7 linked regions of the Oryctolagus cuniculus genome follow. The protein of the gene in region 7 purifies or fractionates together with the protein of the main gene of each other region. This does not show direct contact. Links are inferred from orthologs where the notes say so. Each region holds a gene or a part of one and is shown on either strand. Other genes may lie near its edges. The genes, in order: HNRNPA0, HSP90AB1, HNRNPA1, C1QBP, HSPD1, RPL18 and KRAS.

The links.
Region 1: the proteins of KRAS (region 7) and HNRNPA0 purify together in Homo sapiens (affinity purification with mass spectrometry; 3 studies listed by BioGRID and IntAct, with this or other methods). This does not show direct contact. The link is inferred for Oryctolagus cuniculus from reciprocal best matches to the Homo sapiens genes KRAS and HNRNPA0.
Region 2: the proteins of KRAS (region 7) and HSP90AB1 purify together in Homo sapiens (affinity purification with mass spectrometry; 4 studies listed by BioGRID and IntAct, with this or other methods). This does not show direct contact. The link is inferred for Oryctolagus cuniculus from reciprocal best matches to the Homo sapiens genes KRAS and HSP90AB1.
Region 3: the proteins of KRAS (region 7) and HNRNPA1 purify together in Homo sapiens (affinity purification with mass spectrometry; 3 studies listed by BioGRID and IntAct, with this or other methods). This does not show direct contact. The link is inferred for Oryctolagus cuniculus from reciprocal best matches to the Homo sapiens genes KRAS and HNRNPA1.
Region 4: the proteins of KRAS (region 7) and C1QBP purify together in Homo sapiens (affinity purification with mass spectrometry; 3 studies listed by BioGRID and IntAct, with this or other methods). This does not show direct contact. The link is inferred for Oryctolagus cuniculus from reciprocal best matches to the Homo sapiens genes KRAS and C1QBP.
Region 5: the proteins of KRAS (region 7) and HSPD1 purify together in Homo sapiens (affinity purification with mass spectrometry; 3 studies listed by BioGRID and IntAct, with this or other methods). This does not show direct contact. The link is inferred for Oryctolagus cuniculus from reciprocal best matches to the Homo sapiens genes KRAS and HSPD1.
Region 6: the proteins of KRAS (region 7) and RPL18 purify together in Homo sapiens (affinity purification with mass spectrometry; 3 studies listed by BioGRID and IntAct, with this or other methods). This does not show direct contact. The link is inferred for Oryctolagus cuniculus from reciprocal best matches to the Homo sapiens genes KRAS and RPL18.

The regions. Positions count from the first base shown.
Region 1 is NC_091437.1:25,591,686-25,595,270, forward strand, and holds HNRNPA0 (heterogeneous nuclear ribonucleoprotein A0), read right to left. Parts: upstream 2,239-3,585; 5' UTR 1,934-2,238; coding exon 1,043-1,933; 3' UTR 529-1,042; downstream 1-528. UniProt on the Homo sapiens protein: mRNA-binding component of ribonucleosomes. Specifically binds AU-rich element (ARE)-containing mRNAs. Involved in post-transcriptional regulation of cytokines mRNAs.
Region 2 is NC_091436.1:125,882,779-125,886,925, forward strand, and holds the start of HSP90AB1 (heat shock protein HSP 90-beta), read right to left. Parts: upstream 2,827-4,147; 5' UTR 2,620-2,826; intron 1,467-2,619; coding exon 1,320-1,466; intron 985-1,319; coding exon 778-984; intron 695-777; coding exon 535-694; intron 444-534; coding exon 310-443; intron 200-309; coding exon 1-199. UniProt on the Homo sapiens protein: Molecular chaperone that promotes the maturation, structural maintenance and proper regulation of specific target proteins involved for instance in cell cycle control and signal transduction. Undergoes a functional cycle linked to its ATPase activity.
Region 3 is NC_091442.1:57,215,972-57,220,063, reverse strand, and holds the start of HNRNPA1 (heterogeneous nuclear ribonucleoprotein A1), read right to left. Parts: upstream 2,835-4,092; 5' UTR 2,709-2,834; coding exon 2,694-2,708; intron 2,132-2,693; coding exon 2,015-2,131; intron 1,792-2,014; coding exon 1,645-1,791; intron 1,511-1,644; coding exon 1,300-1,510; intron 1,210-1,299; coding exon 1,117-1,209; intron 1,039-1,116; coding exon 946-1,038; intron 676-945; coding exon 601-675; intron 393-600; coding exon 240-392; intron 1-239. Other genes in the region: CBX5 (chromobox protein homolog 5), read left to right, coding at 3,187-3,504. UniProt on the Homo sapiens protein: Involved in the packaging of pre-mRNA into hnRNP particles, transport of poly(A) mRNA from the nucleus to the cytoplasm and modulation of splice site selection.
Region 4 is NC_091448.1:50,896,018-50,900,265, reverse strand, and holds the start of C1QBP (complement component 1 Q subcomponent-binding protein, mitochondrial), read right to left. Parts: upstream 2,807-4,248; 5' UTR 2,719-2,806; coding exon 2,493-2,718; intron 2,206-2,492; coding exon 2,055-2,205; intron 1-2,054.
Region 5 is NC_091434.1:42,763,484-42,767,522, forward strand, and holds the start of HSPD1 (60 kDa heat shock protein, mitochondrial), read left to right. Parts: upstream 1-1,238; 5' UTR 1,239-1,426; intron 1,427-2,320; 5' UTR 2,321-2,322; coding exon 2,323-2,496; intron 2,497-4,039. Other genes in the region: HSPE1 (10 kDa heat shock protein, mitochondrial), read right to left, coding at 84-248, 780-782. UniProt on the Homo sapiens protein: Chaperonin implicated in mitochondrial protein import and macromolecular assembly. Together with Hsp10, facilitates the correct folding of imported proteins.
Region 6 is NC_091449.1:8,505,559-8,509,658, reverse strand, and holds RPL18 (large ribosomal subunit protein eL18), read right to left. Parts: upstream 2,829-4,100; 5' UTR 2,608-2,828; coding exon 2,605-2,607; intron 1,755-2,604; coding exon 1,668-1,754; intron 1,583-1,667; coding exon 1,475-1,582; intron 1,378-1,474; coding exon 1,279-1,377; intron 1,191-1,278; coding exon 1,067-1,190; intron 982-1,066; coding exon 912-981; intron 826-911; exon of another isoform or gene 550-825; intron 528-549; coding exon 452-527; 3' UTR 411-451; downstream 1-410.
Region 7 is NC_091440.1:122,550,048-122,554,049, reverse strand, and holds the start of KRAS (GTPase KRas), read left to right. Parts: upstream 1-1,176; 5' UTR 1,177-1,310; intron 1,311-1,931; exon of another isoform or gene 1,932-2,080; intron 2,081-4,002. UniProt on the Homo sapiens protein: Ras proteins bind GDP/GTP and possess intrinsic GTPase activity. Plays an important role in the regulation of cell proliferation.

The sequences.
Region 1 (3,585 bases), on a different chromosome or scaffold from region 7:
ATAACAGTTCAGATATAGACGGGAAAAAAAGGATTAAACCTGCTCAGAAAATACAAAAACGCATTTAGTGTGAGGGTAAAACATAACCCTTATTTGTAACCATTCATTAAACACAAATCAGTAAGAGGGATGAAACTCAGCCATCTGAAAAATTTTAAACAGTTTGTATGAATGAGAACACATGCGTAACACAAACTACTTCTTTAGAACTACACAGTACATACTTTGAAGTAAAGTCTCATAGAAAGAAGTGACCAACTATGTCAAGATGCTAAGTAAATCACTCAGTACAAGCGATGGATGCACATAAATTAAGATTTTAAAGAGTCACATCCACCACTTCAAGTTTTGCCTGAAAGGGATAAACTTCAACATGTCACTAGCAGAGCAACGGGGGAGGATAAAAACACAGAACCTCTGAAAAGCTTTTCTAAGTACACATCCAGAATTACACACACACAAAATCTTAAAACCAATATCCCTTAAATAGGTACGGAATGGATCCTAGAAAAAAAAATGTTAGACATGTACGGTCAAACACAATGATTTATTAAAAATAAAACGTAAAAATGATTTTTGTACATATGCTTCCAAATTTCAGGCATGGGATCCAAGTAGATCATAGAAAACGCTGTAGCCAGGTATCAAGTCCTTACAACAAAGTAAACTACTCCCCCTCCCAAACACCCGCCCGGGTTTTGCTACAGAATGAGCAAATTCACTCCCTCCCCCCCAAAAAACACAAATTAAAACAAGACATCTTGCTAGTATAAAAACGACCAAGTTCCAAGTAATAATAAAAAAATAGAGTCCATCAATGACTGTAACACAAAAATGTAGGGGGGGGGGTCTAGTCCATCTTCAGAGGGAGGGTCGAGAGGTGCCAGGTAAACAGGGGGACACTCCCAAGGGTAAGCAGCCTCAGCGGCTCCCCCAAGGGCAAAATGGGGAAGGCGGTGGAGGAGTACGGGCCTCAGGAGTGGACCCCACTCGGCATGTTTCAGGGCCGCCCCTGCAGCCGCTCCCAGGCATTTCCAGCTTCTCAGAAGGAGCCGCCTCCGTAGCCGCCCCCACCGCCGTAGCCGCCTCTGTAAGGTCCGCTGTTACTGCGACCGCCCCAGCCGCCGCCGCCGCTCTTCATGGGCCCGTACGAAGACTGGTGCTGGCTGTAGCTGCCGAAGCCGCCGAAGCCGTTACCGTAGTCGCTGCCCCCGTACGACGAGCCGCCCCCGCCGCCGCCGTAGCCCCCGTAGCCGCCCCCGCCGTAGCCCCCGTAGCTGTTGTAGCCGCCGCCGCCGCCCTTGGCCAGGCCGTTCTGGTCTCGCCCCCCGCCGCGCCCCCGGCCGCCCCGGCCGCCCCGGGACGACCGGGAGCCGCCGCCGCCCCCGCCGGAGTGGATGTCCTCCTTGGGGACGGCCTTCTTCACCTCCACGCGATGGCCCTGGATGGGATGGAACTTGACCACCGCGGCCTTATCCGCCGCGTCGTGGTTCTGAAAATACACGAAGCCGAAGCCGCGCTTCTTGCCCGACTGCTTGTCGGCGATGATCTCGGCCTTTTCCACGGCGCCGAACTGCGAGAAGTGCTCGATCAGGTCGCCCTCGGCCACGTCTCCCTTCAGGCCCCCGACAAAGAGCTTCTTCACCTTGGCGTGGGCACCGGGCCGCGCCGAATCCTCGCGGGACACGGCCCGCTTCAGCTCCACCGTGTTGCCGTCCACGGCATGCGGCGACGCGGCCATGGCGGCATCCGCCTCCTCCACATTCGAGTAGGTCACGAAGCCAAAGCACCGGGAGCGCTTCGTCTGGGGGTTCACCACCACCACGCAGTCCGTCAAGGTCCCAAAGGCCTCGAAGTGGCCGCGCAGGCCCGACTCACTCGTCTGCACGTTGAGGCCACCGATGAAGAGCTTACACAGCTGGGAATTCTCCATCTCCACGGCCCGGGCCTTGCCCCCGCCCCGCGAGCCCCGAGGTTTCGCCGTCGCCGTTATCTGTCGCCGAGGCTTCTTCACAACTGGGGCCCAGCCGTCGCTGGAGCCGCCCCCGCCGGACACCGGCGGGGAAGGGGAGGGGAGGGGAGGGAAGGAGAAGAGGAGGGGGAGGGAGGGGAGCGGTGCGGGCGAGGAGGGCGCGCCGGGGAGACGGGCGAGCACCCAAGGCCGCCCCTGCCGCCACCGCCGCCACCTCCGCTCCCCTATCTGGGCACCACACAAAGAGGCCGCTGAACGCGCGCGTACCCTCCCCGCGGCGTGCGTCACCACCGACGCACGGTAGCCTAGGGCCGCCCGCCAATCCCCGCCTCGCTCCTCTTGGTCCCGCCTACCGCGCCGCAGCGCCGGGCTCAACCACAGACTCCGCGCCCGCCGCGGTCTATTCAAGCCCTCGGCCCCGGCGGGCGCGCCCACGCCTGCTGCTGTCCATCTGTCACTGCCGGGCGCCTCGGCGCGCCCTGGCAACGGACCTGCCCTGCCCTCCGCGACCCTCCGCAGTTCATTTCCGAGCAGCCCCCGGCTGTTCCCAGTGACTCTCCCCCTCCCCTTCCCCTATCCCCTCGCCCCGCTCCGCAGTGGCGTTCGCGCCAGCCCCTTGAGAGGCGTGTGAGTGCAGCCAATCGCCGCAACCCCACGCACCCACTTCCGTTCTCGGCAGCTGCTGGACGGGCGCGCCCCCAGTGCGCGCTTGCCCGGGCGCCCCCGGAGTGCGGGGCGGCCGCCACCTGCACGCCTCCTCCCGCTCCGGGCTGGGCGGGGCATGGGCTGGGGGCCTCGCTGGGGGCCGTTCCCAACGGCTACTGCCTGGGGCGCCACGCGCGGGCGCTTTGAAAACTTAACTGCTGGGGTTCGGGGCCGGGGTTTACCCGCCGCGTCTCGGCCGGGCGGCTACACCTGGCGGCCACGCCCCTCCTCTCGCCCCCGTAAAGATGGAGGGCGGAGGACCGGTCCAGGGAGGCGGTTGGTAACGGTTACCAGTGGGCCGGGCGCGTGGCTGAACCAAAACTTGAACACGTGGCGTAGTAATGCGCAAAAGCGAGTCCGAGGCGGTGTGAAAGATAACAGGGTGCGAAAACCTCACGCCGAGGCGGGGCTCCGCCACATCTAACGTCCCACCCGCTCCGCACACTCCTGCAGACATTTTCACTTACCTCAGGATACACTCATAACTTAAGTCATCTGTGCGCTGCCCCCTTCCAACTCACGTTTTGGCTTTTTCCAGACGTTTTATATCAAACCAAGAATAGCTGAGCATTGTATTCGCAAAGAGCCCGTCTGCACACCTGATGCCTGCCTTTAAGTGCCCTCCGCAGGCCAAAACTTTGAACTGTTTGAACCTTTGTGGCCAAACAAGATGCCTAGACTGGGACGTGGCACTAGGACACCAAGAGCCTCCCAAACCAGGTGGTTATTACTGAAGAAGCTCAGAGTGATTCCTCGCTGTTTCCTCGAGTATTGGGGAAGGATTTGGGAAAGAGGTTAAAGTTGTACTGGATCTGGGAGACGAAGACTAGATAAGATTTCTGCAGGAAACTTGCGCTTCAGGGGGCAATGGGTGAATCCGTTTGAGCAGAGCAGGCAGTAGGATAGAA
Region 2 (4,147 bases), on a different chromosome or scaffold from region 7:
CTTCCTGATCGATGTACTTCTCCTTGATCTTCTTGGTTTTCTTTTTCTTGTCCTTGCCGCTGTCATCTTCCTCATCGGAGCCCACATCTTCGATCTTGGGCTTCTCATCGTCCTCCTTATCTTCCTCCTCCTTTTTCTCTTCCCCTTTTTCTTCCTCTGCTTCATCATCACTGATTTCCTTTTCTCTTTCCTTCTCCAACTAAAGCACCCAGAAACACTCGTCAGTTTTGAGCACCGACCCTCAGGGCAAGCAAATGGCCCAGCCCACCAGAAGCACAGGCAGGCTGCCTCCGCGGGAAGCATACTCACGTAGAGGGTGATGGGGTAGCCTATGAACTGCGAGTGCTTCTTCACCACCTCCTTGACCCGCCTCTCCTCCAGGTACTCAGTCTGGTCCTCCTTGAGATGCAGGATCACCTTGGTGCCTCGGCCAATAGGCTCCCCTGCAGACCAGGAGGGCAGGCGGTGAGCGAGCTGCCCCAGGACCGCCTGCTGCACACTCGCCCTGTGAAGCAGCGCCTCCCGGCCACTCACCGTGGTCGGCGCGCACGGTGAAGGAGCCCCCAGCAGAAGACTCCCAGGCATACTGCTCGTCATCGTTGTGCTTTGTGATCACGACCACCTTCTCGGCCACCAGGTAGGCAGAATAGAAACCGACGCCGAACTGCCCGATCATGGAGATGTCGGCACCAGCCTGCAGAGAAGCGGGAACGGTCAGACTCGTGTCCTGCAGAGAACAGAGGCCCGGCCGCACGTCGAGGGCTGGCTGCCACCTACCTGCAGAGCCTCCATGAAGGCTTTAGTCCCCGACTTGGCGATGGTCCCCAAGTTGTTGATGAGATCGGCCTTGGTCATGCCAATGCCGGTGTCCACCAGCGTCAGCGTGCGGTCCTGGGGGCTCGGGATGATGTCGATCTTCAGCTCTTTGCCGCTGTCCAGCTTGGAGGGGTCCGTCAGGCTCTCATAGCGGATCTTGTCCAGGGCCTGCAAGGCAGCACCAACAGCGGATTTCTTAGCCGTCTCTTCAGCGTTAGGAACCTCTTGGATTGCTACTCTCACGCTGTAACTCTGACTGCCCCATCATCCTACACGAACTGTGAACTCTTAGAGTGAGTAATAAACGTGCCATTTAATGGTAACAGAAAATTGCGTCCTTGAAATACCCCTGGAAGTGAGAACCTTGGGCCTCACTGGACTAGGAGCCGCGTGGTCACACTGGCCCGCTCGTCCAGGGAGCACCCGGACAAACCCCTTCAATAGCAATCAGTTTTCCCCCTTCGGGAGGAGCCCAGCCAGCCATGAAACACGAAGGAACTCACATCAGACGCGTTGGAGATCAGCTCCCGCAGGAAGATTTCCTTGTTGGAGTAGAAGGTGTTGATGATGAGAGACATGAGTTGGGCAATTTCCGCCTGGAAGGCGAAAGTCTCCACCTCCTCCTCTCCATGGTGCACTTCCTCGGGCATCTGGAACAGGAGGGTCAAGAATCAGGAAGGTAGCGGCCCCAGAACTGACGCTTCTGAAATTCAGATGGTGTTTAAACTGCTTTGGGCGGGGTTACTGAAGACACGCCCTTTCTTAAAACCTGTGGGGTGAATACTAACAACCACCGAGTCAGGTCAAGAGCAAAGCCCTCCTCAACCAGACAAGCAGGTAGCATGGAGCAGGGGTGACCAGCAGCCGCTCACCACGCTGGTCCCAACCCAGACAAGGGACTCCCGCCCCACGTTCAAACGCCAGCATCACTGACCACACGTCTCTTTGATGTGGGCGCTGGTTTTATTCTCAAACTGCTCGCCCGTAGGCAGCTCTTCTACCCCTGTAGTGTGGATGCGCCCAAGGCCCGATCGCAGCCCCACGCGGCAGGGCACACTGACACCCGAGAAACAGCGGTAACCGGCTCGCGGGGCAGTCCACGCGGGACAAAGAACAGAGCAGGCGAAGGCTGCCCCGTGACGCCCCAGCACCTGCTCGCACCCAAGTAAAATGGTGCCCGGGGCCGCGGACCGACCCTCGTCACTGCCGGACATGCGTCGGCCGCAGCCCCGCGAGAAGGGGGCGCCACAGCGCGCCTCGCCATCGCCCCAGCATCCGGGCACTGGGGCGGAGCATCGGGCTCCAGAAGCTTCGAGAACAATCTCCGCGCTCGGGGAGGGGCGGGGGAGGGAGCCTATGAATCTTCCAGAGCCTGTCCCCTCCCACTCGAGGGCTGCGGAAAAGACCTGCCACACGCCAAATGCGTTTCTGCCCGCGGCGGGTCCCGCACGGACCTCGAGGGCCGAGCAGCAGCGGCAACCCAGGCGCGCAGTGCTGAGTCACCCGCGCGCGGACCCGGCCGCCTCGCGGCCCTCGTAGCCGCGTCCGGAAGTGGAGGGGCAAACATGGCAGCGCCCCGGGCCGGCGCGGCCACCACGTGCAGCCGGCCCCCGCCGCGGCCCCGCGCCGCCGGCCCGGCGCGCCGGTGCAGGCCGACCGGACGCTGGAAAGCCTCCACGCACCACCCCCGCAGCCCGAGCGCGCGGGGACCCACGGGCCGCCCCGCACCGCGGCGTCTGGCTCCCGAGCTGCGCAGCGACAGCACCCGCGGGGGAACGGCCTGCAGGGACGCGGCTGCCTTACCTTGAAGGGAAAGGGCTGCGAGCACGAGAGAGCACGGAGGGCCCGGACTGCCAACCGCACACGGCACGAGGCAGCGCGGGGGTGACTCAAGAGAGCTCTTGGGAGCCCCCAGCCAGCCTATATAAGGCGAAGCACAGCCCAGCCGCCTCCCCCGGATCCCTCCGCCTTAAAGGCGGACGCCCGCGAGCCCCGCACCTGCCGGCGCCCGCCCACCTTGACGTCATGGTCCGGAATAGGGGGCGGGCGGGGAAGAGCCAGAGCCGCCAGCCTCGGTGTGGGCTCGTGAGCTCCTGTTCTCTGCACGGCCAGGGCGTGACCCCTGCCACGATTAGGGACTGAGAGTGCTCATATGCCTCAACAGTGGATCTGCGAGCGAGGACCCCACCGGCTCCCCCAAAAGCCCTCCCACAACCAGGAGGCCGAGCCGACGGGGACTTGAAGCGAGCAGAGGTAGTCACTCCCACCCAGTCGTCTAACTAGGATCTGCCACATATATCCCCCCTCCTCCCGGCGAACGGCCCAGCTGCCTGCAGCCCCCTGGGGCGGGGGAGGGGCGCCGGCCCGGGAGGGAGGGGACTCTTTGCTGGCGTGCGGCGGAAGGAGCGGCGGCAGCGGTGCTGCGGCCACTTCCAGCAGTTTCCAGGCCAGTCTCGGCGGCCCCGCCCCCGCCGCCGCCTCCCCTCGAGGCTCCTCCCCTCGCGCTGCGGCCCGGGCAGTGTAGGTACTGCAGCTCGGGCCGACCCCTGGGCGGAGCGGGTGGGCTGCCGCTGCTCGGCCCTGCTACCCGCCTCGTCCGCCCCCGGAGCGCGGCACTGCCCCGCCGCTGAGGGGCACCTGGCCCTCCGCCTCTCCCGCCGGCCGCACACCTCGGGCAGCGGAAATGTTTTTCGGGCGCCTCCATCCAAGCCGAGACTGGGGGTGCCCATCCCTTCCCGAGCCTTCGCGGCAGCCCCCCAATCCCTAAACACTGGTTGAGGCGCCCTGCTTACAGGGTCACCTCAAGCTATTTCCCAAGCTGGTTTCGGATTTTACGCCCTCGTTCGCGTCTCTAGCTGCGGGGGCAGGGGGAGGGGAGGGTCTCCAGGGACCCCTGCCGGTGGTCGCCTGCCCCGTGGGAACCAAGTTCCTTTGCGACCCTCGGCCATGCGGCAGCCCAGGGAGCCGCGGGTCGCGCCCGCCTGGCCCAATTTGGACCCTTTGCCTGCCTTCCGGCTGCCGGCGGACCTGCCTTTCCCAAGGGTCCCCTGAAAGTCTGCTGGACCCGCGTCCTTCCCAGGAGACCCTGGCCACGCCCTGCTCCGTGCTCCCCAGCCGGCCAGCCCCGGCACCCGGTTCCCCCTCCTTAACCAGCTTTGGCCGCATGCTGGCTTCCAGAGAACAAAGGAGGACCCTTCTTTTCTTTGCGCTGTCCACGTGGTCGTCCCGGCCGTCACTGGGCCAAGGGTCTCTCTCCATGTCCTTGTCCCTTTCACCGCGGTCTGTGAGAAGCCTGTGGCTGGGGGAAGTGAATGGGGTGGGGGAGGCGTCG
Region 3 (4,092 bases), on a different chromosome or scaffold from region 7:
CAAGATGCTAACTCACTCACATCACAGACACCACTACCCGCTTAGCATCTACTTATTTGGGAGTGAGGCGGCCCCAGCTTAAAGCTAGGAGGAGGTAGCACAGCAAGCTCATTTCCTTTTAATATACCATGCAGTGTACCACACAATGCTTTAAGAGCTTCCAATCGCAATATGGGCATTAAAATGCTAAAACACTAATCTAGCTATCAGACCAAGTACTTGGATCACTCGATACCTACCACTACCACCGCCAAAGCCGCCTCCGCCGTTGTTATAGCTGTCATAGCTGCCACTCCCGCCATAGCCACTGCCCTGGTTTCCATAACCCTGTCCACCACTTCCATAGCCTCTGCTTCCTCCAGAGTAACCAGGGCCGCCTCCTCCATAACCACCTATAAGAATACAATTCTTCTCAATAAGACAAAAGTATTTAACAATCAAAATCGGTTCAAGTGTAATGGCTAAAGGCCTGCGCAAAGCATGCTTATTATGGGTTCAGTTGAGCTTATCATGCACTAGCAGTTAACAGTTTCTATCATCCTAATCTAGTAACACAAGTTGCCAGAAACATTTTTACCTATGTATTCTTTAAAGACTTACCGTCATTACCAAATCCATTGTAACCATCCCCACTGCCACCATAACCACCTCCACCGCGGCTGCCGCCGAAGCCACCTGGAAGAAAGCAAACACGTGCAGCAGGTTTAGAGCATATGAATTGCGTGGTACGCTCTGGAAGCGCTCCCTGCACTGTGACAACGATTGGCACACCGGAGTAACTTCTGGTTAGTTACAGGCCAGAGCTGCATTTTAGATAAAACTTAACTTCGGAAACGTAGGCCATTTGTTATATGCTACTACAGGTTACAGAAAAAAAAGGGACAAGTCATCTAGGGTCAAGAAACCACAAGCTCTCTAGAGTTAACCTTAGCTAACCATACATACCACGACCACTGAAGTTTCCTCCACGACCAAAGTTGTCATTGCCACCAAAACCACCTCCACGACCACCACCAAAGTTTCCAGAACCACTTCGACCTTGAGAGATAAGTGTTAAACCATACAGATTGGAAAAACTCAAAGTTACCTTAACGTCCGACTAAGCAATAGACATACCTCTCGGGGTGGACGAAGCGCTGGCCATCTCCTGCTTCGACAGGGCCTTCCTCACTTCACAGTTGTGGCCGTTCACAGTGTGGTATTTCTGAACTGAAATTTGATGACAAACAGCCCGGGGTTAGAGTGGAATGCCACGTGCGTTGCAGAAAGCCCGCAAAGTGCCTGGGATCTGATACTCACTGACAATCTTATCCACGGAGTCATGGTCGTCGAAGGTCACAAAAGCAAAGCCCCTCTTCTTGCCACTGCCTCGATCAGTCATGATCTCAATCACCTCGATTTTCCCGTACTGCTCAAAGTAATCTCGGAGGTGATGCTCTTCAGTGTCTTCTTTAATGCCACCCACGAAGATCTTTTTCACAGTGAGGTGGGCACCTGGTCTTTGGGAATCCTACCGAGCCGAGAACCACGAGTTACTCTAAATGGCAAAATCTGTGTCCTTTATCAAGTACTTGAAAGGGTCCAGATGGCTCCCCAATGGCAAGCCTATTACCACAACCGATGGGGGTTTGGGGGCCCACTTACTTCTCTCGACACAGCCCTCTTTGGTTCCACAACTCTTCCATCCACTTTGTGTGGCCTTGCGTTCATGGCCGCATCCACCTCCTCCACGGTGGCGTAGGTGACAAACCCAAAGCCCCTGGAGCGCTTGGTGTTCGGGTCTCTCATTACCTGGAGACAGCGTTAATTTGCTTATTACAAGGCCCGGGCCCGTAGGAGGTTATAGGGCGGTCCTCCTGTTCCCCGCTCCCGCAACTTCCAAAAAGCAGGCCGAAGAGCCACAAACGAGCCATTCCTAACTCAGAACTCAGGCCCCGTTAGGATCTTAAGCCCTCGCACAGAATCTGCAGGAACAGCCGCCGACGCCCCGCCTCCCGGCCCTCCCCAGTCTTACCACGCAGTCCGTGAGCGTGCCCCATTGCTCAAAATGGCTCCTCAGGCTCTCATCGGTCGTCTCAAAGCTCAGCCCTCCGATGAAGAGCTTCCGCAGCTGCTCGGGCTCCTTGGGCGACTGGGCGGGAGAGCAAAATTGGTTTTTCTCTTGTAAATTCGGGCTACCACACGACCCCGTTTCCACGCGGGGGGTGGGGAACACAACTCGGCCCCCACAAAGGCGGCACTTTTTGTTCGCTCCGGTCCAAAGCGGGCCACGTGCTCCCCCTCATCAGGGGAGGCGGCCCGTTGGGGGCTGGGGAGCCTCCAGCGCATGCGCCGCTCCGCTCCCTCCAGACGCACGCGCGCAACAAAAGGTCCGCGCGGGAGGGGGACATCGCCGTGAGGGGCATCAAGGCTTTTTTAAAACCCGCTCGCCGGGACAAAATTGAACCTAAATCGCCATATGGCTAACGATTTTGCCCCGACGCCGACCCCGGAGTGATTATCGAGGGGCTAGCGGCCCGCAACCTCATGGCGACGACGAGGACAAAATGGCGACTTGAACTTTGGGAGGGGTAGGCCTTGGCCGCGACCGAGCAAACTGCCGAAAAGGTTGCTGCGGGCAAAGAAACCGCCCCTACTGGACTCGAAGAGGGAGACGAGGGGGAGAACTACGTTAGAAAAGGGGAGCTCCTCACCTCTGACTTCGACATGACGGCGGTGGGAAGAGAGAACTCGACGATGCTTCCTCGGCGGCGTCCGCAAGCAGAAAGGAGTAAGCCAACGAACGTATCCGCCAGCCTACCTTCGGCCTCGCTTTTTTATCCCGCCTCCTCGCTTTCGACATTGGCAGACTCCACCCCTGCCTCGCTCTGATTGGACATTTGAAATCGCTTCCCTCTACTATTGGTGTATGGCGCCGCACTGCTGCGTACGTCACCGTTAGGGCGTTCTGCGCAGTCTCCACCCCTCGGACCCCATTGGTCCTCGAGCAATCTTATTCTTAGCCAGCCTGATTGGCTAACTGAACAATCATTCATTTTTGAACGTACTTCGCCTGTCTAAACGTTTTTTTTTCATTCTACTAGTCCAAATTATATATCCTATTTGTTTGGTAAAGCATTATTAACACCAAGCAGCAGAAAAGTAGTTAGATGTGACGGTTTTTTTCAACAACCGCCTGTTGAGCGCATGTGTAGTAAAATGGCGATCTTGCGCATGCGCATTATAGAGTTCCGCTCGCCGCTTGAAACACGTGAAATGGCGGGCGGGAGAAGGCGGTTAACCTACGGCGCCTGCGTAGTGGCGGGAGTTGCGCGCTGCTTTGCGCAGGCGTTGTGGGCGGAGAAAGGGTCCGGGCCCAGGATTGGTTGCGCAGGCGCAGGGAAGGATCCGTTTTGGCGGGCGGTTGGCGTTGCGCAGAAGGCAGCAGCAGCGGTGGCTTGTGGTGCGGCCTCAGCACAGAGGAACGGGGCAGACGTTAGGGTGTGTGATCACTCTCGATCCCGGGTAAGTGGCAGAGAGTCTTGTCTACCTGTACAAGGCCTTGGACCGGCTCCAGTTGGGCCCGTTATTGTGTGAAATGAATGGACCGTGGGGTGGGGGGATAGTCAAGGGGCAGCGGTGGGTTGGGCCAACCAATAGAAGAACAGGGGGCGGGATATTCCATCCCTGTAGGTTGTGTGGAGCTGTGCCGCCGAGGCGTTTGACTGGCGCGTGTCTAGGCCAATTGGGTCTACCTCGAGCTGCCGACTGATCGGCCTTTGGGCCATCGGAATGTGGGAGGCGGGTTTTCCCTTCCTGAGCAGCGTCCCGCCGAGCCAATGAGCGCGAAGCGCGCGGTAGGTTGGGCTTCTCCGAGGGGCCGTGGGTTTGACTCCAGCGGGGAAGGCGGGAGTTGGGCCCTCAAGTGGATGGACCAAATCTGGAGCCAGTAGGCGGGCGGCCCAAGGAAGCCTCTCGGACAGGTCGTCCAATAGGCTCTCCAGGACGGGGAGGTCTTCGATTTGGTGGGAAAGGGTGGGGAGGAAGGAGATTCAATGGTCGTGATGGCGTGCGGGGGTGGGTTTTTCCCCCCTACGACTTCTGCGAAGCCCC
Region 4 (4,248 bases), on a different chromosome or scaffold from region 7:
AATAAATCTTTAAAAAAATAGTTCACTTGGTGTAGTCAAACAATAACTAAAAAAAGTGTATGTCAATACCAATAACATAGGGAAAGGAAAAAAACACCCAAGGATGGGAGAAAACACTTGCACACCCTGTGTCTGATAAGGGGAACTGCACCCAGAATATCTAAAGCCCACCTTTAAGGCAATAACCTGGTAACCTGGATTCAGCTCCCAGCTCCAGCGTAGCCTATACCTGGACATTTCAATATTTAGGGAGTGAAGTAGCACATGGGAGCTATCTGTCTTTCAAAACGACAGTAAAGGCCGGCGCTGTGGCTCAATAGGCTAATCCTCTGCATTGCGGCGCCTGGCACACCGGGTTCTAGTCCCGGTCGGGGCGCCAGATTCTGTCCCAGTTGCCCTTCTTCCAGGCCAGCTCTCTGCTGTGGCCCGGGAAGGCAGTGAAGGATGGCCCAAGTGCTTGGGCCCTGCACCCCATGGGAGACCAGGAGAAGCACCTGGCTCCTGCCTTCGGACTGGCGCAGCGCCGGCCGTAGCAGCCATTTGGGGGGTGAACCAACGGAAGGAAAACCTTTCTCTCTGTCTCTGTCTATAACTATCTGTCAGATAAATAAAATTAAAAAAATAAATAAATAAAAAACCAGAATCACAAAGTAAATAGAACCCTGTCAAATGCCTGCCAACAAATGAATGGATAACTGACAGAACAAGGACATGAGCCTCAGGCATTGTGGCTCTTTGCCTGAGGGACCCTTTACCTTCCTTCAAGAGACCAGCTCAGTCCTACGCCCTGTACTGTTGCCCACCCTACCCTCTGCATTCTGCATTCCATAGAAAAGCTAGCTCAGCTCCACTGCACCTCATGGCCCTTATCAGGCCTATGCTATTTAAATCCAGCCCGTAAATAAATTCCTGCTCTCTCGGCCACGTGTTCTGTCTGTGCGCATGCCAGTGGTTGGCCATCTTTGCAAATTCACTTGTCTTTTTTTTTTTCCTTTATGATTTATTTATTGTATTTGAAAGACAGAGTTAGAAAGAGATCTTCCATCTGCTGGTTCACTCCCCAAATGGCTACAATGGCCAGATGGAAACCAGGAACTTCTTCCAGGCCTCCCATGTGGGTGCAGGGACCCAAGCACTTGAGCCATTTTCCGCTGCTTTCCCAGGAGCAGAAACAGGGCGCTGGGTCAGAAGTGGAGCAGCCAAGACTTGAACCGGCACCCATATGGGATGCAGGCACCGCAGGTGGCAGCTTAGCGTGCTATGCCACAGCGCTGGCTCCCATTTTTCTTCTTAATTGATTTTGGCCGTTGACTTCGTATCTTGTCTCCTCTGGTCTGTCTCCCATTTCCTTACATAAATAAAATCTAGCATATCCACATAATGAAATATTATGTTGTCATTAAAAAAGCTAACTATTGGTACATGCTATTACTAGTATGAATGAACCTCAAAAACAACGGGGGTGCGGGGGTGACAGTGTTGTGGCACAGCTGGCTAAGCTGCTGCCTACAACGCTGGCACCCATAGGCTGCTCTGCTTTGGATCCAGCTCCCTGCTCAGACGCCTCTCTGTAACCTTCTCTCTGTAATTCTCTTACTCTCTGCCTCTCAAATAAATTAATCTTAAAAAAAAAAAAAAAAAAAGCTGGCCCAAGTGTTGGACCCTTGCACCCACGTGGGAGGACATGGAAAAAGTGCCTGCTGCCTGGCTCCTGGCTCCAGCTTGGCCCAGCTCTGGCTGTTGGGGTGGATGGAAGACGTCTCTAACTCTACCTTTCAAGCCAATAAATCAATCTTGGGGGGGGGGGGGGAGGTAGACACAAATGGCCACATATTGCATGACTCCCACTCACACAAAATGTCCCACACAGGCAAATCCAGAGAAGGCAGCTTGGCGGTTTCAAGGGGCCGGAGGGGGAAGAAGGGACAGGGCGGCTGCGGAAGGGTCCCGCTGTGAAGTCACACGGGGTGGCTGACATGTGGCTCCAGCGAGCTTAGGGTCCCGAGCCAGAGGCCGCCCCACGCCGCGCACCCCGGGGCGCGCCGTGCACTTACTTCTCCCCGGCCACTTTGCGCACGAGTTTAGCCTCTGTGCCGTTCACCTCCAGCTCCCAGCCTCCAGACATCTTGGGAAGGGCTTTATGCTTCTGGATTTTCTTCTCCTCCTTAATCTCGTCGGTAAGGAAATCCACAAAGGCTTTATCTCCTGGGGAGGAATCGCGGAGACGTCAAGGAGCGCCAAGCACCCGACAGGGACCCGGGGACCCGGGGACCCGGGGACCGCCGCCCTCTGCCCGGCATCCGCCTCGCCTCCCCAACGCTATCCGGCCTGGAAGCGGGCAGCTGCATCCGCTCGCCCGGAGAAGCCAATTCCGTCACGAGCGCCGCAGCACCCCACCCCCCAAACCGCACCCGGGGCCGGGGGAGCCGGGGAGCGGTGCTGTCAGTCGCCGTCGGGAATCAGGTCCCCCACGCCACGCGCGAGCCCCTCACCCTCCGTGTGCAGCGCGCCGCAGCCGCAGGAGCAGGGCTCGCGAGCCCGCAGGAGGCCGGGCCGCCGCACCGAGCCCGCGCGCACGCTGAGCAGCCCGAACGGCCGGGCGCAAGGCCGGGGCGCGGGCAGCAGCAGCGGCCGGAGCGGCGGGGCCGGGGCCGCGGCGCGGAGGCCGGCGACGGCGGGGCCCAGGGCGCGGGGCACGCAGCGAAGCAGCGGTAGCATCGCGCGGACGGCGTCAGACACGTGCGGCGGCGACGGACGACCCGGGCCAAAGCGCCCAAGTGACCTCCCGCCGCCGGAAGCCCGCCCTCGCCCGGAAGCGTCTCCCGCCGCCGGCGCTCCAAAGACCGAAGGCACCGCGGGCCGGATGGCGCCCTCTGCCGGGGACCGCCGGTGCAGCCTCGAATCCGGATTCCTGGACCGCCCCGGGAGTGTGTTGGGGTCTGGTGCGCAGAGCTTTGTGGTTAATTCTCAGAGCGCGCCAGGCTTGCACACGTCCTCCACACTCGACGGCAGCACACCTCTCGCAGGCCTTCTCTGCTCTCTCGTGTGCATCAAGCCCTGGCTTTGCTCGCTTGCCTGGCTGACTCCCCTCACTGCAGCCAGGTGAGACCCAGAGGCGCGAGGCGCGGTGCCCATGGTTAACCTCTCGTGACTGGCTTCACCTGCTCCCTCCGGCCTTGCATCCAAGTTCTCAGGCAAAGTCATTTTGCCGGGAGCCAGAAGCCATGGCTAACATCTGGTTCTGCACTCGCCAGGGTGTGGAAGGTACCAAGAAAATGTCTCCCTAGCTTTGTGGCAATCGTAAGGCTAATACTTAATATTTTCAAAACAGCTTTCTGTGAATAAGGGCAAGGACACACAAGAAAGAAGGGACATGCATCATGTACAAGACTTGTTCTCAATGGACACTTGCTAGTCAGGTGCGAATGTGAGCATTATATATATACACAGGAGTTGATCTTTTCATAGCTTTATTTAAGACTCAAAATACAACGTACGCCTGAGCCAACCTGATTTTTTCCCTCCCTCGGGATTTCTCTGCAGGTTACAATATTCTTATGAAATACAACATAACATTCTCGCCCACGGGGCCCGTGCTTTCTCTTATGCTAAAGCACTGGTGTCAGAGATGCATGGCCACATCCGTAGTGGACGGAGGATTTAGGTATCACAGTGCAATTTCCCTCCCCGAGCAAAACCTTGTCCTCATCTGGCATCTCCTTCCCAGTCAGCAGGTTTGCAGCATGAAAGCTTTTTATCAAGGACAGGGATTGGGGTCCTCGCCCTTGTAAGGAAAGGTGCCCTACCCCACGTTTCACCCTCTGTGATGATGTAAGCAGGACAGCCGCCTGAGCCACGCCCCACGCCGCCTGCTTGAGGACACTGTTTGCACACAGCCGCTCAGAGGAGGTGGGAAAGGGTAGCTCGGGGCTATGGTGCAGTGTCACTGTGAAAGCGCTAAGTTTAAGGTGTAGCATCCCCTGCAGCTCGACAGACAGGTCTTATTTCTGTGTTAGTGACGTGGAGCTAGGGTGGGCTTTCCAACCTGGATTCATCCCTGAGCAGCTATGATAAAAAAATAACTTCCTTAAAAGCCCAATAGAAAACTAAATACTATATTAAAAACTACCTCAGTGTTACAGGGGTAAACATATTTCTGTACTGAAACATGAAAGCTACTTAGAAGCTGTTTGCATCCTCTGCCCCCCGGAGAAGAACATGAGTCTCTGGAAACTTCTCGGGTGCTTA
Region 5 (4,039 bases), on a different chromosome or scaffold from region 7:
GCTTATTTTTGCAGTCATTTTCCTTAAAATGACGCAAGTTATTTAAAATACTTTTATAGCTGCATCTGCAGTCCCCAAGTTACCTTTCCTTTAGAGCCTGATCCAACAGCTACTACCGTTGCTTGCAATACTTTTCCTTGAGATTTTTCAGGGAGCATAATGCCTCCTTTGGTTACTGTTTCCGCGGCGCTCCTCTCCACCAAGACCCGGTCAAAGAGCGGAAGAAACTTCCTAAATGCCTGTCCTGCCTGCAGAGAGAAAAACGTTTTATTGAAAACACGCAGGGCCTCCGCAAGCGTTTCATCTCAATCAACTTCGGTTTTCCAGAACACCCACACTAAGGGAACGCATCTGAACGTTCCGCCCTTTGCACCAAGTTTAATATTCCCCACCCTCTGTGTTCGCTGGGGGGTCGTTGTCGCCCCTCTCGCCCACGCGACCTGGTTAACCTTAATTAACTCCAAGGTCATTTTCCTTAAGTTTTTCTGGAAAAGTCAGGGCCACTCCCTCCGCCTGGAGCCGTACTCTTTCTCCTAGATCCTGCACACCCACAAGGGCCCTGCGTGCAGAGGCAGGTGGGCCGCCGCGCTTGTGTGCCCGGGCTCCCGCCCCCCTGCCCCACGCTACTGCGGCACACGCGTGTGCAAGGAGCCCTCGGCGGAGGGGAGGGCCGGCGCGGCCTCGCCTCTGCGGAGGACAGGCGGCCGCTACTCACGGAACGCTCCACTAGCCCTGCAGTCAGGCCCCGCAGGGCGCCCTGCGGGCCACGCGGGACTCACCATGGCCCCAGCGCCGCAGCTTTCGCTCCGCTCTCGCGCCGCTCCAAGGAGAGACCCGCAGCCTGACCCTCGGGACACGTGAAAAGGCCAGGCACCGCGCACGCGCGCTCGGCCCGCACCCGCCCCCGCCCCTCCCCCCGAGAGGGGCGGCCGCCGCAGCGCGCGCCGGGATTCGCCCGGAAGGCGCCGCGCGGCCTGCTGACGCGAGGCCCAGAGGGCGGGATTGAAGAAGAGCTTTTTCTAGGCTTTTCTAGGCCAGCAGGCCGAGGTGAAAGGACAAGCCCACCCCACTGTCCCCCTCCCGGAAATGACGGGGTGTGACCCTTGACCCGCAGAGCGCGCGGCGCTTTCCGGAAAGTTCTGGAAGCGAGCGCGGCCCGGGAACGAGCCTAACTCGGCCGGAGGGGGCTGATCCCGCCGTCCAGGCTCTGCGCGGTGGGGAGGGGCGGGGCGCGGGCGCGGCGCGTGCTGATTGCCGGGCCCCGGGCGACGGGAAGGGGCGGGAGCCGCCGCACACGCGGTGCCGCGGGGCGGGGAGCAGCCGAGGGAGGGGCACAGACTCATTGCCGTGCGCGCCCTGCAGCCTGGCCCTCACTCGCCGCCGACGGCCTGCCTCGCCGCGTGCACTCCGCGCCGCCTCCCCGCAGGTACGCGGCCACTGGGCGCCGCCTGGCCCCGGCTCCTGCGGCCCTGGAGCAGGCCGCCTTCCGCTACGGGCCGGCCTGAGCAGGCCGGCAGGCGACAGCCAGGACTCGGAGGATTGCGAGACGGGGCCCGCTGGGCCAGGCCTCGGGAACCCATGCGGGTTTCATCACGTGCGGCGTGGACTGCGGCCCGGGCCAGGCGCGGGAGGGAAGGAGGGAGGACTGGCCTGGGGACGGGACGGGGGACATCGAGGCCGCTAGGGCCTGCTGGGGTTGCCTGTTCCTGGCTGGGGGTGGTCGCGTCCGCCAGGAACTGCTTTTGGCCGGCGGGCTGCAGGGGTACGGCGCCTCAGCTCTTGACCTTGCTGGGGGCGTCCTGAAAGCAAGGCACGTGGGGCTCGGCTCGCGGAGTCGGGGCCTAGTTAACTGCTCTGATACAGTAGCTTCGGCTGGATACTTGAAGACACTTTCCGCTGAGCGGGTTTTGCGGCTTCAGGAATACTTCCTTAGTGACTCGGATTTGTAGACCGCCTCTCTTCTCGCTCTCTCCCCTCCCCCCACCCCACTCCCACCGATTGGTCTTTGCAGGGATACAATTGGAGCGATTCTACTCTGTAGGCCATTGTAGCGGTGAAAAATTAACTCGTTTTTGGAGGCAGGAGTAGGCGGCCATGGGGTAGCAGCTGCGTGTGCCTTGTGCTATAGGTCAGGCAAGGGGGCGGCCTCTTAGCTTGCGCCGATTGCTGGGGTTCCGAGGCTGCGTGGCCGGGGGTTAGTGGCTGGCAGAGGTCGACCTGGTTCACACCTAACCTTGCTTGATCTGGTGTGAGGGTGGGCATATTTGCTGCGACGCGCGGATTGGCGTGGTACTGATCGTGTACTTGTTTTCTCCTGCAGAAATGCTTCGATTACCCACAGTCCTTCGCCAGATGAGGCCAGTGTCCAGGGCACTGGCTCCTCATCTCACTCGGGCTTACGCCAAAGACGTAAAATTTGGTGCAGATGCCCGAGCTTTAATGCTTCAAGGTGTAGACCTTTTAGCCGATGCTGTAGCCGTGACAATGGGGCCAAAGGTATCAGTATTATTTGGTTTTAATTACGTATTAGTAATTAAGGAATACTGTTTTACTGATTAAGGAATAGTCACGTAGAACTATTTACCAGTGCTTTGGTATTCACTTTTTGAGAGAATCTAGTTTTTATGTATAGTTCTTTATTATTGTGTGTATTGTGTGATGTAACTGGGTAGTAACTCACAGCTTAAGGTGAACACTTAGTACAGTTAATTTCGCTTGTGTCCTTGCATCACATTCATGGATCTTTTCCCAGTAGTGGCATGTATTGGGGGGAAATACAGGTTGTGTCCAATAATACCTCAGATAAGTATTTGCAGGTGATAATTTTTAAAAGATTTGTCTGAAAGGCAGTGTGACCGATCTCATCTGCTGGTTCACTCCTCAAATGCTCACAACAGCCAGAACTGTGCCAGGCAGGAACTCAACCTCTGCTCCCTAATTTTTCATTACCATTTTTTAGCACACAGTTAAGGAACAGTAAATGCATTGATCTTGTTGGCAATCATAGCCACCATGTATCATCTTGGAAAACTAACTCTACCCATTCCCCCCTTCCTTGTAGGTACTAATTTGCCCAGTACTTTTCTGCTGCTCTCCTGTTCCAAAGCATATTTAAAATTTTTTTGAGGTGGCTGTAGTACAGATGAGTACAGTTTTCAAATTGAAAACAGTTCAAATATCAAAGTGACCTAAACAACTGTAAAAATAGGCCATTTGTACAGCTCAAAAATAGAAGGTAGCAGTTTTGGTGCAAATCCAAAAGGTACAGAAACATATATGCTATGTTTGGGATTCCTACAGTTTTATTTGTGGGATACCATTATGGTGTAGCCATTTAAGCTGTAGCTTGTGATGTCTACATCCCGTGTCCCAGTGCTGGTTTGAATCTCAGTTACTCTGCCTCCTATTCTATTAACTCCCTGCTAATGTTTCTGGGAAGGCAGTGGAAGATGGCCTAGGTAATTGCCAACTGTATGGGAGATCGGAATGGAGTTCTTAGCTCCATATGTGGCTTTTGCAGCCATTTGGTGAATGAACCATTATTGGATGGAAGATCTCCTAATCTCTCCATTTTTCTCTGTCGTTTTGCCTTTAAAAAAAGTAAATTTTCTTTTAAAAGATTTGTTTGAAAGGCACAGAGAGATTTTCCATTCAACGGTTCACTCCCCAAATGGCTGCAATGGCCAGAACCAGGAACCAGGAGCTTCTTCCAGGTCTTCCACATAGGTGCAGGGACCATCCTCCACTTTATTTTCGGAAGTGGAAGACTTCTGTGGCTCACTTGGTTAATCCTCCGCCTGCAGTGCCGGCATCCCATATGGGCGCCGGATTCTAGTCCCGGTTTCTCCTCTTCCAATCCAGCTCTCTGCTGTGGCCCGGGAGGGCAGTGGAGGATGGCCTAGGTAATTGTTTGCCTGCACCCGCATGGAAGACCAGGAAGCACCTGGCTCCTGGCTTCGGGGCTTTGGATCGGCGTAGCTCTGGCGTGGCAGCCATTTGGGGAGTGAACCAATGAAAGGAAGACCTTTCTCTCTGTCTC
Region 6 (4,100 bases), on a different chromosome or scaffold from region 7:
CACGCGGCCCCGGCCGGCTATCCCCCTCCCTCCTTGCCTTTTCAGTGCGCACGGAGCACAGGGGGCCGGAGCCCTCCCGCCATTCCTCCTGCTGTGGCCTCAGCAGGCCTCGCCCGGGGCAGCCCAGCCCCTTGTGCAAACGGGGTGGGCCCGCAGGTCCTGGGGTGCAGCTCCCGGGGCGCCCGCCCGCGGCCAATGGCCACCAGCGCCGGCTGCGCCTCACCTGCCCACACACCCTGCCCCCTGCACTTCCTGGTCCTCGCCCCAACAGTGCTTAGTGCCAGGGTGGGCGTGGCCAACTGGACAGACTCCGGGAGGAGAGGCGGGGCTCCGGGAGCAGGTGGTGCAGCCTGGGGCCGGGCCAGGGCCTTCCACCGTCCCCCCTCCCAACACACACACACACACAGACGTCGGCGTCCAAAAATCTTTATTAACAGCGCGGTGCGCAGGGTTAGTTCTTGTAGCCCCGGCTGGCCCGTCTGCCTCTGGCGCGCTCGAACTTCCTGCCCTTGGAGCGCACGTAGGGTCTGTGGGGAGAGGGGGGGAGGGTGAGAGGGCAGCAGGGGCGCCCGGACCACTAGAGCCGGCCCTGCCCCCGCATGGAGGGCGTCCCACTTCACACCCAGCTCCCAGCCAACGCCCCCGTACGACAGCCCAGCACCCCACGTGGGCGCCAGTTCCAGTGCCGGCTGCTCCACTTCCGCTCCAGCTCCCTGCTATGCCCTGGGAAAGCAGCAGGAGACGGCCCAAGTGCCCGGGCCCCTGCACCCGCGTGGGAGACCCGGATGGAGCCCCAGCCCGGACTGCTGCAGCCAGCGGGTGAAGGTCTGTCTCCCCCTCTTTCTGGAACTTCCAAGAGCCCGCCCCCACCGTGAGCCAGGCGCTGCCCAGCCGCCGGGGCCGACACTCACTTGGTGTGACTGTGTGGGGTTCCGGGGGCCTTGCCGAAATGCCGGTACACCTCACGGCCCTTGCGGGGACCTGGGGGTGCGACACGAGCGGGATCAGACAGGGACACGCCCCTCCCCAGGGAGCCCCGCGCGGGCGGGCGGGCGGCGGCACTCACCGGAGAGCAGGACCGTGCCGCGGCCCTTGGGGGAGTCCAGGGCCAGCTGGTCGAAGGTGAGGATCTTGCCCCCGGCCTTGAGGATGCGGCTGCGGGCACGGCTGGTCACGCGCAGGGCGCACACCTGGGGCACGGGGCGGGCGGGGTCAGAGCCGAGCCAGCGCCGGCCCGTGGGGGGCGCCCTCCGGGGCGTGGCCAGGCCCCAGGCTCACCTTCAGCTTGGGCACCTCCTGGACGCGCACGTCATCGGTGACGGTGCCCACCACCACGGCGGTCTTGTTCTCCCGCCCGGGAAGCTTCATCTTCCGGATCTCCAGGGGAGAGGGGCGCAGAGGGGGCGTCAGGCCCCGCCCCCGCCCCGGGCGGCCCTCCCCCTCCCCCGCCCCCGCCCGCGCCGCGGCCACGCACCATCCGCGACAGGGACAGCGGCGGCCGGTTGGTGCGGCTCATGAACAGCCTCTTCAGCACCACCTGGTTGAACGTGGAGTTGGTGCGTCTGGCCAGGAACCTGTACAGCTGCAGAGAGGGGCGGCAGGTGAGGCCCGGCCCGGCCCGCGCCCGCGCGGGGGCTGCCCACGCCGCGGCCGCAGCTCCCGCTCACCTTGACCAGCAGCCGCAGGTAGATGTCCTGGCTCTTGGGCTCCTTGCGCCGAACCTTCCTGTCCTTGTTGTGGCGAATGTCGACTCCCTGGGGGGGGGGGGACGGTGACCACGGGCCCCACTCTGCGCAGGAACCACCACGCCCCCCCACGCTCAGCGGCGGCCGGGCCGGGCCCCCCCACTCTGGGACAACAGCGCAAACCCCAGGTCCCCCCGGGAGACACGTGTGCGTGCGGCGGCCGTACCCCGCGACGCTAAGGGGGATTTAACTGCCTCCAAGCCGTGTTCTGCGGTAACGTCAACACTGCGAGACCCCGCGTGCAGTCGGGCCCGAGCTGGTGTGCGGCCCTCGCAGCGCCCACGACGTGCACGACGGCACCCCCTGCTTTGTCCCGGGTAACTCGGTTTTCCAGCGCGTTCATGGTGAAAGGAGCCACCGCAGCGCCCCGTCGGGCCAGCGCCTGCCCTACCCAAGTGGCGACCACTCCCCGCCGTCCGCAGCGGCGCTGGGGGTCACGGTGCCCATAGATGAAGCCGCTGCAGGCACAGCACCCACAGGGCCTCCCCGTCCCCAAGACCCCGCAGCAGAGCAGGGTGACGGACGATCTGGGTCGTGGGGACCAAAGACTAAGTCGGCGCGGACGGGTTGGGGGGTCAGCCGCCTGGGTCCGGAGTCTCCGCCACCTCCCGTGACCACGGTCACATCACTTAGGACTCCCCGAACCTCAGCACGGGGAGCAGCGGGCTCCGAAGGAAGCCGGCCAGAGTGGCTCTGACCCAGCGCTGGCCTCCGGAGTCCCTCCGAGCCCCATGGCCTCGGAGCCGCTCCTTGGACACCCCCGCGGACCCCCCGCCTCTCTCCCGCATGCCCCAAGCCCGAGACTGTGGCAGATGGCGGCGGATGGAGAAGCACCCAGCTCTCCGCAAAACTCACTCACCATGATGGCGACTCCTGCCCGGCCCCGTCCGGAAAGAGAGAGACAGAGAAGCACCGGAATGGGTGTGGAAAGCCTTCAGCGAGCGGCGCGCGTGTGACGTCACAGGAGCGCGCCGCGCCGCTCTAGCACGACCGAGGCCTCTTTGTGGCGCGTCGGAGGACCAGCTGCGTGGGCGACAACGGGCTAGGGCGGAGAAACAACCACAGAGGAACAGGGGCGACGTCAGGGAGAGAAGGGCCGATGCGTCGGGGCCTCTCTAGCCCTACCCAGCCCTTGCTCTCGGTAGCCTTCCGGAAGAAAGCGCGCTGGGAGCCGAGAGAGATGTGTGCCGCTAGGGGGACGCTCTGGCCCGACATTGACGGCCTCTCGGTGGCTGCCGGAGGACCGGGCGGGCCGAGCCGCGGCGGTGCGGAGGCGGGGCCGGCGGGGCCGGGTCGGGCCTGGCCTCCGGAAACTTGTGACTTCACGCCTCGGGCGTTTCCTTATCAGCTTCACCTCTGCCCGTGCGCCGCCGCCGCCGCTCGGGAAGTCCTACTTGAGATCTGTCCCGATTCCTTGTCGCTGCAGCTCCGTCTGGAGCACGCTGTCCCCGCAGCCTTGCCCCCACCCCGAGAGGGCCCGTGCCTGTCTCCCTCCTCGGCCTCCGCCGCCGGGGGCCGTCTGTCTGCAAGCCACAGAGTCCAGCCGGGCCGGCGGCTTCGGTGTGAGGGATGCGCAGGGTACTGGAAGGCGGAGAGGGCGCAGAGCGAGGCCCCGGCGTGCAGGGTCGGGGAGGGGGGATGCGTGAACCGGCCCCGCAGGGGAGGGGGCGGCGGCGTGCAGGGTCAGGGAGGGGGGATGCGTGAACCGGCCCCGCAGGGAGGGGGCGGCGGCGTGCAGAGTCCCCGCAGGGGAGGGGGTGGCGGCGTGCAGGGTGTGGGGGGGACGGGGATGCGTGAACCGGCCCCGCAGGGGCGGGGGCAGCGGCCTGCAGGGATGGAGACAGAGATAGATGCAGAGGGGAGGGGGCGCGGGGGCGGGGGATGGAGACCCCAGGAGAATAATACAAGAATGCGGAGACTCGGGCTTGCCCCTTTTAAATCCTGGCTCTGCTGCCTAGTGACGGCGTGACCTTGGGCAAGTCTGGGAGCCTGGCTTTCTTTGTCTGCAAGAAAGGGCTGACAATGGGCTCGCTGTCTGCCAGGATTATATATGTTCATAAAAGCGCTGGGGTCGAATGCTTCGCACCTAATAACGGCTCTTTCACACACCTGTTATTATCGTTTCCTTTCTGGGACCAGAGGAACGGGTCGGGGCGGTGACGAAGCTGGCCCGTCGGGTCCGGCTGCCTGCAAGCTGCTCACTCACCTCTTCTCCACAGAGCAAAGGCCAGGCCAGAACGGTGACCGCCACTCCTCGCCCTGGCCCCGCACGCAGGGCTGAGGCCCCGCTGATGTAGCCGAGCCGAGGCCGTGCAGATGCATGGACACCCCGCCTCAGAGGAGCGCGGGACCAGG
Region 7 (4,002 bases):
GCAAAACATTTTGCCAACACTTGACACGGAGTAGGCACAGCCTTTTCCCTTCCCCGTCTTCCACCTGTCTCTTCTGCCTCCCACCTGGTGCTGGGAGAGGGAGGCTGGAATAAAAGTCGTGCAGATTAAAGCCCATACACGCAGAGAAAGAAAACGGCGATCGCTGATGTCAAGCCTTGGTTAGCAGACATAATGGCTGGGATCTAAAATAACCGAATTGCTGGTCTGTGGTGTGGGCTGGAGGGACAGCACTGGAAGCAGAGGGCCTGCTTAATTCCTCCAGCTCTCCCAGGGGCCTTTGCAGGTAGACTCCGGGCTCGCTAAGGCGTTTAATCGCCCCCATTGTTTCATGTCTGACCTCCTTAGCTCATTACCCAGCCTCCTAATGAACCTTGGAGCGGCTCTCCGCCAGTCTAAACTGCCCTGGGTACTTGCACCGAAAAAGAGTTCGCCTTCCGCTCGGGCTCCGGGGGCACCGGGGACCTCGGAGACCCTTCCTCGGAGACTGTGCACTGGCTTCGAAGCCCCAGAGACACAGCAAACCAACCCGGATCCCCAGGACCAAGACAGGGTCTGTGGCGGCCGTTCGGGCGGCGATCACGAAGCCCCGGGCCTCTCCCGAAGCCACCACTGTCGCCTCCCACGTTTGGCGACTGCCTGTTCACGGACGTGCAGGTGACGACACGAAAGGGCTGTGCTGGACCCTGCGGGGGTCCCCGGGGCTCCTCGGTGTGGACGCGGGCAGGGCGCGCCGACGTCTCAGGGGTCCGACCCTGCCGCGCGGGTCCCACAGCCGCTCCTTCCCGCCCAGGCGCCGCCCGCCCCGCCGCCCCGCCGCCCCGCCGCCCCGCCGCCCCCTCCCCCGCGGGGCCAGCCTCCGCCCCGCCTCCCCGGCGGCGCGCGCGGCCTCCCTCTCAGCCCTCTTCCCACACCGCCCTCAGCCGCTCCCTCCTCAGCGCCGGTCTGGAGAGGAATCGAGCGTGGAACACATCGATAGCTCTGCCCTCTGCGGCCGCCCGGCCCCGAACTCATCGGTGTGCTCGGAGCTCGATTTCCCCGGCGGAGGCAGCAGCGGCAGCAGCAGCAGCAGCGGCGGCTGTGGCGGCGGCGGCGGCGGCGGCGGCGGTGGTGGCGGCGGTGGTGGTAGTGGCGGCGGCGACGGCGGCGGCGGCGGCGGCGGCAGCAGCGGTGGCGGCTGCTCGGCCAGGACTCCCGGCCCCCGCCATTTCGGACTGGGAGCGATTGCGGCGCGGGCCCTGAGGGCTGCGGCGGGGGCCTGAGGCTCGGCGGCTCCCAGGTGCAGGGGAGAGGTAAGGGAGCGGACCACCCCTCCCGGGCCCCTCTGCCCGGGTCTCGACCCTCAGCGCCGGGCGCGGCCGGCGGCGGGCGAATGAATTAGGGGGTCCCGGGAGGAGCCTGGAGGCGGCGGGGGGCGCGCGCGGGCGTCCGCGGTGGCGGGGGGGGGGTCGCGGCGACGCGGGGGGAATGAGGCATGGGCGGTGCGGGGCTGAGGAGGGTGAGGCTAGCGGCGGCCGCCGCTGGTGCAGCTTCCTGGACGGGGAACCCCTTCCTTCCTCCTCCTCGCCGAGAGCCGCGGCGGGAGGCGGCCGGGCGCGGTGGAGGTGACTCCCGCCGCGCTCGGCCTCCCCTCCCCCTCCCCTCCCGCTCGCCGGGGCCCCGGCTCCCGCACCCCTCTGCCCCGCTCCCCGGCGCTGGCTGGGCGGCCGCCGGCTGCATCTCCGGGGCACGCCGCCGCACTTGCCCCGGGAGCGCAGGCTGGCGCGGGGGAGAGGTCCCGGCGGCGGGGCGGCGCGGCGCGGGGCGTGCGGGGCGTGCGGGTCGGGCGGGGGGCGTCCCCGGCCTGCACGCGCTCCGAGACCGCTGCCGGAGGTTATTGTGCAGCAAGAACTGCCCCTGCCCGCCGAGTTCCTGGCGGCTCCCCTCCCCCCCCCCGTGTGAGCTGTGACATTGCCGTGGTCACAAAGGAGGAGGTGGTGATGGTGGTGGAAGAACAGGTGGCCCACGCCCTCCACGTAGAGCCGGGGGCCCGCGGCGGAAAGGAAAAAGTTAATCCCAGAAGGTCTGTTTTGCTTTGTCGGGTGAAAAAAAACGGCGAGGAAACCCGCCGAGCAGAAGCTGGGCTTTTTTTTTTTTTTTTTTTTCCTGGCCAGTGCAGTAGTAGACCCCGGTAGCTCTCATAGTACTTGAAGTTGAATTTGCCTGTGCTTGGCGCTTGCTTTGGCTCGTCTTGGCTGCCCTTCTCCCTATCCCAGGAGTTACCGCAGTACTCCTAAAAAGCAATTAAAAAAAAAAAAAAACTGACTCACGCCAGGAGTTCATTGTAGTAACCGGCCCCCTGTAAACTCTCAGGTCCTTAGAGCTGGAGGCCCAGGCCAGCTGGCTTGAACCTTCAGAACAAGAGGTTAACAGCAGAGGGCTTTGCGGGTTATACGGCTGGGCTAGACCTTGATTTTTCAAAGTCTGTTGGTGGTCAGGGCCTCAGAAATAACCGTGTGGCCGGTGTCACTCTCAGGTCCCCAGTGCTGACTCCGACGTGGGATAGGCTGTGCACATCAAAAATGGTCGCTGTCTGCACTGTTGGATTTGAGGCTGGCCCCATCCACGAGCGTGTTTCCTGCGCCGAGGTGGTGGATGGCAGTTCCGTGGGGTCTAGTCCCACTTTCACCGCTTGCTAGCTGCTGTAATTTTGGGCAAGCGGCCTCTTCTGGCCTGTGATCTTCCATCAGTAAGACTCTGTGGAGACCTACCTAGTTCTTTCTAAAGGGTCTAAATATTACTTGGATTGAGAAAGTGATTTAGTAATTTTTTTTTGTGCTAGAAACAACCACTGCATAAACACATAGACCAAAAGGTGTGTGTTTCTGAATTCACACATATGTATATAACTAAACTGTAATCTATCTGTTCACAGTACCTCCTGGGTCAGCACATTTCTTGGCCATAAGGATCCCTTTACCACTCATACAAATATTGAGGATATCAAAAATTGTTGTATCAGGAGGTATTGTCAATATTTACTGCATTGGAAATTAAACTGAGAATTTTAAAAATCTGGGAATTCATTTAGACATAGAAATAATAAGCTCATTACTTGGTAACATGAATAAATGTTTTATTGAAAACTATTTTCCAGATCATAACCAAAAATAAGTAAGAATGGAGCTGTTTCACACTTTAATAAATCCTTTAATTATGTGGCTTAATGGAACACATCTGAATTCTCCTATCTGCCTCTCCATTCAGTTCATTGTGATTATAGGTCTGGAAAACTCTGCTGTACACTCGTGAAAGAATGCGATTGAAAAGGACAAATAACATTTTAGTGTCGTAATGAAAATAGTTTCCACCTCTTAGGCCTTAAAAGAAGTCTTGGGAACCTGGGGGGTTCCGCGGCCCACATTTTCAGAACAGCTCTTTGGGGCCGGCCAGTCTGCTGTGGGCATTGAGGTGGCAGGGAGCTAGAGAAAACATTTTGGTGGGATTCTCTTTGGTGGGATCCCTTCTGCAGGTTGCCTACATCTGGGAGAAGACTGGGCAAGCAGAGTAAGAGATGTGAGGTAGCTTTCAGTTCTGTCCTAGATACACAGTGAGCAGAGGCTGGGAGGTGTACGAAGATACCCATGCTACTCACACAGTGTTGTAGCTTCTGGCACTCTCTGGGAGGGGCTCAAGAGCAAGGTGAGGAGGTCAATGTGGTATTTGGAAACCTGGTGAGCATTCTCTGGGGGTCAGTGGGGTGTAATGTTTGGGATGTTTCTTGGCCTTCAGGAAATAGAATAGTACATGTATTTTGTTTAATCTACAGTATATACATGTGAATCTGGAACTGCTTACCCTATTAAAAAATCATTGTAAATTTATTGCCATTTCTGCACTGTACTTCTTATTTGTAATAACTTGTTACGTAAGGGAAAGGAGATAAAATTAACTATATTATTTGAAAAAGTTCAAACAGTCAACTATATTATTTGAAAAAGTTCA